Ovis aries: one gene and its partner. The protein of the gene in region 1 interacts with the protein of each later gene in a pairwise test. Links are inferred from orthologs where the notes say so. Each region holds a gene or a part of one and is shown on either strand. Other genes may lie near its edges.

Region 1 (4,611 bases):
CCGTCTCAAGCCTTCCCACTCTGCCTCTCGAGGCCACCCAGCTGACAGGCCAGGTGGACACAAGGGCGGCTCCAACCTCAGAGACACTTTCTAGTTCCAATATATGCCTGTGTCCCCGAGTCTGTGTGGAAGGGAAGCAGGGGTCCACAGGCTCGGGGGCCTCTGAGGGGATCTGGCCGGGCCAAGGAACGGGGCAGTACATGCATCTCCGAGGGTAAGCTTAAAGCCTGGCGACGAGACCAGGCTGAGCCCAGCTGAGCCCCTGATCACAGGCTCGGGCTGACACCTGAGTGAGTGTGTGCCATCCCGGGGCACGCGGGCAGGCCCAGACCCCGCGCCCGAGCAGCTCTAGGCTGGGAGGGGAGGGGCGAAGGAAGGATGACCGCCAGCAACGTGGGCACTGCAGGAGGGCTGAGGCGTGGTCTGACCAGTGGGAACTGGAGACGACACAGAGTAACAGAGACTAGCAGCCTTGATTCAAACTCGGATTCCGGGCAAGTTCCTTTGAGAGGTTACAGACGAGCTTGCTGCTGCTGCTGCTAAGTCACTTCAGTCGTGTCCGACTCTGTGAGACCCCTCAGCTTTTGAAAACACGAGAGGCCTGGCTTTAGACCCCACCTCTCCCAACAGTGTGCCCTGGAGCTGGTAAGCTGTTAAGCTGACTCTGCTGACCCCTGTCCTTACCAGCGAGATGGAATAGCAGCGGGAACCACAGAGGACGAGGTTAAATACAACATACATCAGACCACGTGATGAGCACAATGCCTGGCAGAGAACTGGAAACTGGGTACCGCTGTTATTTTCTCTTTTAAGGGGTCAGCTGTCAAAGTCTAGCCCGGCTCTCGGGCACTTCCTGCCTCAGGACATCCCAGGAGATGCTCTGGAGATCAGAACAGGACAGCAAAGTCTCAAGACGCTCTTCAGTGGCCGGGCCCCACAGCCCTGCTGCAGGGGCAGCCCCCTGACAGCCTGAGGGCCGGGGCCTCGCGGGGCGGGGGCCCCAGAAAACCCGGCCTGCGCTTTGGCTGGACCACTAACTCACTCACACAGAAGCTCTGCCCTGACTCTGGGCCTCAGTTTCCCCATCCGTGCACCTCAGAGCTGGACTAAATCAGTAGTTTTCAGATTTCAAGGTATTATCACCAGCAACAACTTTTTCCCCCCTTAAACAAATATGGAGGAATACTTAAAACAAGATAAGAGAGGGCGAATCTGGCTGACGAGGAGGCTAACGTGCCTGAAGCACCACTCCCCTGGGCGCCCTACTGCAGGTGGAGGGCCTCGAGTTGCTTGCAAGATGGAGACTTACAAGCCTGCTCCGGTTTTAACGGTTTAGGAGTGGCTCTGCTCCCTCCTCGTTTCCTTCTGATATTGTTTTCTGCCTTCAGCAGCAGACAGGATGGAGTACACTGAGCTTCCCACAGTGTAGCTTTCGGCTGATGATGACTTTGGTCCCTGCCCTCTGTGGAAGCTGACGTGCCTTTAAAGAGGCAAGTCTTGTTTGCCACAGCTCTACTCACAAATCCCGCAAAGCTCAGGGGAATGACTGAAATGATATAAAACTGGCTGCAGGGACTTCCGGGATGGTCCAGTATGAGACTCTGCGCTTTCAACGTAGGGGGCCTGGGTTCAATCCCTGGTCAGAGAACTAGATTCTACATGGCGCAACTAAAGATCCCACGTACTGCAACGAAGACCGCAGATCCTGAATGCTGCAGCTAAGACCCGGCGCAGCCAACTAAGTAAATGTTAAAGGAAAGGAAAACCAGCTGCAAAGGAGCAGGAGAGGCCAACTGCGTCCCTGGGCTTTGTGAGCCGCTGGGCCTGGAGGAAGGGGCTCTTGGCAGCCTGGCTGAGGCCCTCAGGGTACGGTGGGGTATGCTGCGATGGCCAAAGCTCCCCTGCTGACCAGGAGCGTTGGACGGGCCCCCTTACTGTTCTGTCCCTGTCGTAACTCCCCGCAGACCGCCTACAGAGAGCCCACTCGGCATCCCGGGAGAACCTCCTAACATGGCTGTCCTGTGCTGGGTAGGCTCTCCTGGCCCTCAACCAGCCATGCGGCCCTGAGCAAAGCTCCAAGGCTGGTCAGAGGCCAGGCCTCCTTGCCCCCTGAACAGCAGTGATGACCCTTCCCGAGCCGACCACCCGACATGGTTGAAAGAATCAAACGAGAACACTGGTCAAACAGCAGTCTGGGAACTGAGAAGGAATCTTTAAAGGGGAAGGAGTATAACTTATGCTGAGACGAAGGGCTGCCATGAGTCGATGAAGTTCAGTGCCCCAGATCCCAGAGGATAAAGCTCTGTCTTATGATCCAGTCTCCCATGGGATCTCAGGGTGGGGGAGAATCAAGTCTGAGTCGCAATCTCACCTTCGCAAAGAGTAGCTCACAACTACCAGGGCAGGACGCGGACTGGCTGGTGCCCACACACGTGCCAAACCACCGCAGCCCAGGCCATCCGCTGCCTACACTCAGCTCCAAGGGCCTTGGGTAGGTCGGGGCTCTGCTGAGATAGCCCATGCGGTCTCCACCTGTACAAAAGGCACCCCAGTCCCTCCCTCTGTGCCCAGGATTCAGAGAACACCCCTGAGTATTCTCAGGCCATTCTAGACAGAAGAGCACCTCTGAGCCAAATCCCAGACCCTGAGATAGCTCGGAGCCCCCCACCAACCGAGCCAGGAGTCTGACTTCTGAGGAAGTGCTTCTGCCACACACACACACACACACTCATATACACACAGCGCCACTAACAGCAACTGGCAACCAGAGGCACAGGCTGGTGCAGTGGATGGACCACGGACGGAGCGGGCGGCTCCATCGTAACCATAACTGTCTAGTGGTCATGAGTCCTCCTGCCCTCTGGCCTCGGTCTCCCTATCAGTGCAACCGGGGGACCTGGGGAGGCTGCCATGTTCCCTCGGGCTGTACACCGCTACGGCTGCAGGTCTGCTCCTGAGGTCCCCCTGTCCCCTGCGGTCCCCGTACTCACACAGTGGTCATGGCTGCAAGTCTGCAGGACAGGGAGCCCGAGGAGATGAGTCCCGAGTTCCCGCCAGGCCAGCTGACCTGAGCGCACAGACTCTGGGAAGGCAGCAACTCAAGTTTTAGACTCTACTTGAAACCAAACAGGAAAAGGAAGCTGAACCAGAGACAAAGGGGAAACAAGCCCCAGTTGAGAACTGAAACCTAGGCAGAAAACAGAGAAACAGAGCTTGTGGCACAGAACCCCCAGTGTGGGCGGCCCGTGTGCCAGGCTGCAGCCTCGCACTCCGGCACTTTCTGCAGGGGCCGGGCAGGTGGGCGCGGTGCAGAGAAGGCCAAGGCCCTGGCTCCCCACCTGTCCCGACTCGGGGGCCCAGCATCGATGGCTCCCTAGACACTTTCGGAAAGGCACCTGGCCCATCCTCCAGCGTGCACACACGCCATGATGGCATTACAGCTGGGGACGGCCTCACGGTTTACTCGCTAATGAACTCCGTACTTCTGTTAGGGAGACGCTTCTCATGAATGGTGACACTTCTGTCATCGGTGGCCTGAAAGGAAAATATCTGAGGGGTGATGGAAGCCTGGCCTTGTCACCGGCTTGTTAAGGGAACCTGGGCTTGTGTTTCCTCTGCTGAAAAATGGGGTTAATCATCCTCGGTCCGCCTGTCTCCACTGGGTTCTCAGGAAGGTAAGATCCACTCCCCAGCTTTCATTCAGAACTGACTGAGAACCCTCCAAGCGTCATGCGTTGTGCCAGAAACTGGAGACAAAACACCGACCTGAATGGCAACTCTTGTCCTTGAAGGGCTTTGACTGTTGAGAAAGGAAGCGACTGACAGGTTAGCAAATTGATGTGTTAAGATGTTATTACCAATAGAGCAGAAAACAGCTGTTCCGAGTATGGTACAATAGAAAGAGTGCTTCTAACTGGAGAGCTGAGAGCACAGTCAGTGAGAGCCGAGTGCCGAAAATGCATTTTCAAAGGGTTTCAAAGATACGCATCTCCCTTTAAAAGCAGCTTTAGGTTGCAAACCACAAACTTTGACATATTGTGGCTTTTTTTCTTAGTTCAAAATATTTTCTATTTTACCCTGTGACTCTTTTATATACAGATTCTTGAGAAATACTTTAATTCCCAAACGTTCGGTGCTATCCTACTTCTGTTATTATTGTTTATTTCTAACTTAATACTCGGAGAAGGCAATGGCAACCCACTCCAGTGTTCTTGCCTGGAGAATCCCAGGGACGGGGGAGCCTGATGGGCTACCATCTATGGGGTCGCACAGAGTCGGACTCGACTGAGTGACTTCACTTTCACGCATTGGAGAAGGCAATGGCAACCCACTCCAGTGTTCTTGCCTGGAAAATCCCATGGACAGGGGAGCCTGGTAGGCTGCAGTCCATGGGGTCGCTGAGTCGGACTCGACTGAGCGACTTCACTTTCACTTTTCACTTTCATGCATTGGAGAAGGCAATGGCAACCCACTCCAGTGTTCTTGCCTGAAGAACCCCAGGGATGGGGGAGCCTGGTAGGCTGCAGTCCATGGGGTCGCTGAGTCGGACACGACTGAGCGACTTCACTTTCACTTTTTACTTGCATGCATTGGAGAAGGAAATGGCAACCC
Region 2 (2,707 bases), on another chromosome or scaffold:
CAGTTTCTTAAAGCAGAACACGTCCCCTTGCATGTAAACTGCATGTCACCAGGGCCATCATTGCTGAAACTGAGGAACTGCCAAGACACCATTGATACCCCGGTGTTTTTAACGACTGTGCACAATCTGTGTTCTGCATCCCAAGGGGAAAAGAAAAACACTCTCACAGGTCTGTGAGGCTGAAGTTCAGTACTGCTAGATCTCAGTGAGGAGGAAAAGGACAGATCTGATTGTCTAGGCTTAATGGCTTTTTATGAAACCATCAGTTAAAGCATAAGACACAATTTGTTTCCAGTGACAATCACTCCAGCTCCTAAAGTACGATTATTTCACCTTACAGAGAGAAGATTCCTCTTGTTCAATGTTGCCATTTTATGGAGAGCCTCCAGCTTCTCAATTCAATTTCAGTATGCCCCAAATTCCCATCTTTCTGGAATGAGTTTTTCTGATTGATGAACAGCATGAGGCCCCAAATCTAATTTTTCATGCCTGTGTTCTAGGTTCAGCTTAAGTGCCTCTTTACTTTGACTTTCAAATTAAATCGTTTTGGATTGAATGACGCTTAATTCACAACTTGAGACACAGCTCGAGGCAAAGTTCTGGTAGCCTAAAGGCTACTTTTTGTTCCTGGCCTTTGATGCTTGTGTATCCCTGTGGAGACTGTGTGAAGGGGTTCACTCTTAGCAATAGCAGAGCAGCGCAGTGAACCTGTGTATTTTCAACGTGAGAATTGGTTCAGGGAGCAAGCAGATCTTACTTTTTTATATACATGGGCTTCCCAGGTGGTGTGAGTGGTAATGAATCCGCCTGCCAATGCAGGAGACTTTTTTATATAAAGCAGGAGCCATAAGAGACGTGGGTTTGATCCTTGGGTGGGAAGATCCCCTGAAGGAGGGCCTGGCAACCAACTCCATTATACTTGCCTGGAGAATCCCAGAATCCCATAGACAGAGGAGCCTGAAGGGCTATGATGATCCACTGGGTCACAAAGAGTCAGACATGACTAAAGCAACTGAGCACCGCACAACACAGCTATACATGCGGCACATAAGTAGATAAACAGTATATCTGTGGCGTTAAAACTGTATGTGAGGAGGGGTCACTAAGAGGAAAAGTGTGTTAGAAGGCTTTGGGGGTAGGGAATGAGAATTTTAAACAGATTAAGAAATAACTGGTTTAACCATACAAACGGAGCTTCTGGAAGGACGGGCAAGTGAAACCCTATGTTTTCTTTTTCCACAGAACTGAGGGAGGGATCACAAAGGGGGCCACGATTGGGGTCCTCCTCGACTTCAATAGAAAAACCTTGACGTTTTTTATCAACGACGAACAGCAAGGTCCCATCGCGTTTGAGAACGTGGAGGGCCTGTTCTTCCCGGCAGTCAGCCTGAACAGGAACGTGCAGGTGAGCGGCTGCTCCATTTGTGAGGCTGCCCGCGGGACGGTGAGCTCAGTCCCCCACCTTGGAGGGCCCAGACCAAGACGCGGAGGAGAGGGGTGCGGGGTGGGAGGACGTGACAAGGGAGATAATTCCAGACCAGCATAAGCCCCTTCGTTGTATTTAGACACAGCTTGGTGAACAGCAGCAGGGGAAACTGGGATTCTCTGGTGGCAGGCTAATGACTGTCCTCCTGAGCCCTAGATTCCTCTCTAGTGGAAAGGAAACTCTTGAACCGGTGGCCTGAAAGCAAATGAAATGACTGCCGCAAAGCCCCAGGAGCTCCTGAGAAGTGAAAGTGTGAGCCTGAAGTGCTAACAAGATGCTTAGAAATCTGGGGCTTCTCCACTGCAGACTTATCACTTCTGTTAGGGAGGGAAAACATAGTCCCTGCCTGCAAGTTAGTAATGATTTTTTGTAAATATAAACAACAGGGTTTCCTTATTTGTTCATTCAATAAATATCTACTGAGTGCCTTTGATATGTCAGGCACTACTGAAGTATTTAAGTATTGTTGTTTATCAGTGAAAACATAAAAATGAAAATCTTGCCCTCTTAGAGCTTGCATTTTAGTTACAAGAGACACAGTAAATAATACGCACAATTGCTGTGTTAATTATATAGTGTATTAGAAGGCACTATTGGAAAAGACCCTTATGCTGGGAATGATTGCGGGCAAGAGGATAAGGAGGTGACAGAGGATGAGATGGTTGGATGGCATCACTGACTCAATAGATATGAGTTTGGGCAAACTCTGGGAGTTAGTGAAGGACAGGGAAGCCTGGCATTCTGCAGTTCATGGGGTCGCAAAGAGGCAGACACGACTTAGCGACTAAACAACAGCAGCAAGGCAATATGCAGTGGAGAGAAGACAAGGAAAGGGTGGGGAACCAAGAGTGCCAGGGTAGGGAGGGCAGTGGCAGTCTTAAGCAGGGTGGTCAGCATAGGTGGGCCTTATTGCAGTCACAGGTGAGCTGAGCCTTGAAGGAAGTGAGGGAGTGAGCTGGGTAAGGCTTTCCAGGCAGAGGGAACAGCCAGGGCAAAGTTTCTAAGATGTGAAGGGCTTCACACAGGGAAAGAAGGGCCAGGAAACCACAGCTGGGGCAGATGGGGGGGCGGTGGGAGAACAGATCAGGGCATGTGCGAGAGGGTGCCCTACCAGCCACTGCTGAGATGGGAGCGCTCACTTCCGATTTGAGCTGGAACTTGACACTGGCTATGAGCTTCACTCAGCAGATGGGTGCTGAAAGATAGATAGGGTTTAAGCAT

The links.
Region 2: the proteins of EVL (region 1) and TRIM9 interact in binary tests that used the Homo sapiens proteins (3 or more experiments, as listed by UniProt). The two-hybrid records come from large-scale screens. The link is inferred for Ovis aries from reciprocal best matches to the Homo sapiens genes EVL and TRIM9.

What each region holds. Positions count from the first base shown.
Region 1 is NC_056071.1:62,673,111-62,677,721, reverse strand, and holds the start of EVL (ena/VASP-like protein), read right to left. Parts: upstream 3,078-4,611; 5' UTR 3,002-3,077; coding exon of another isoform or gene 2,991-3,001; 5' UTR 1-2,990. UniProt on the Homo sapiens protein: Ena/VASP proteins are actin-associated proteins involved in a range of processes dependent on cytoskeleton remodeling and cell polarity such as axon guidance and lamellipodial and filopodial dynamics in migrating cells.
Region 2 is NC_056060.1:42,064,634-42,067,340, reverse strand, and holds the end of TRIM9 (E3 ubiquitin-protein ligase TRIM9), read left to right. Parts: exon of another isoform or gene 1-1,242; coding exon 1,243-1,546; 3' UTR 1,547-1,939; downstream 1,940-2,707. UniProt on the Homo sapiens protein: E3 ubiquitin-protein ligase which ubiquitinates itself in cooperation with an E2 enzyme UBE2D2/UBC4 and serves as a targeting signal for proteasomal degradation.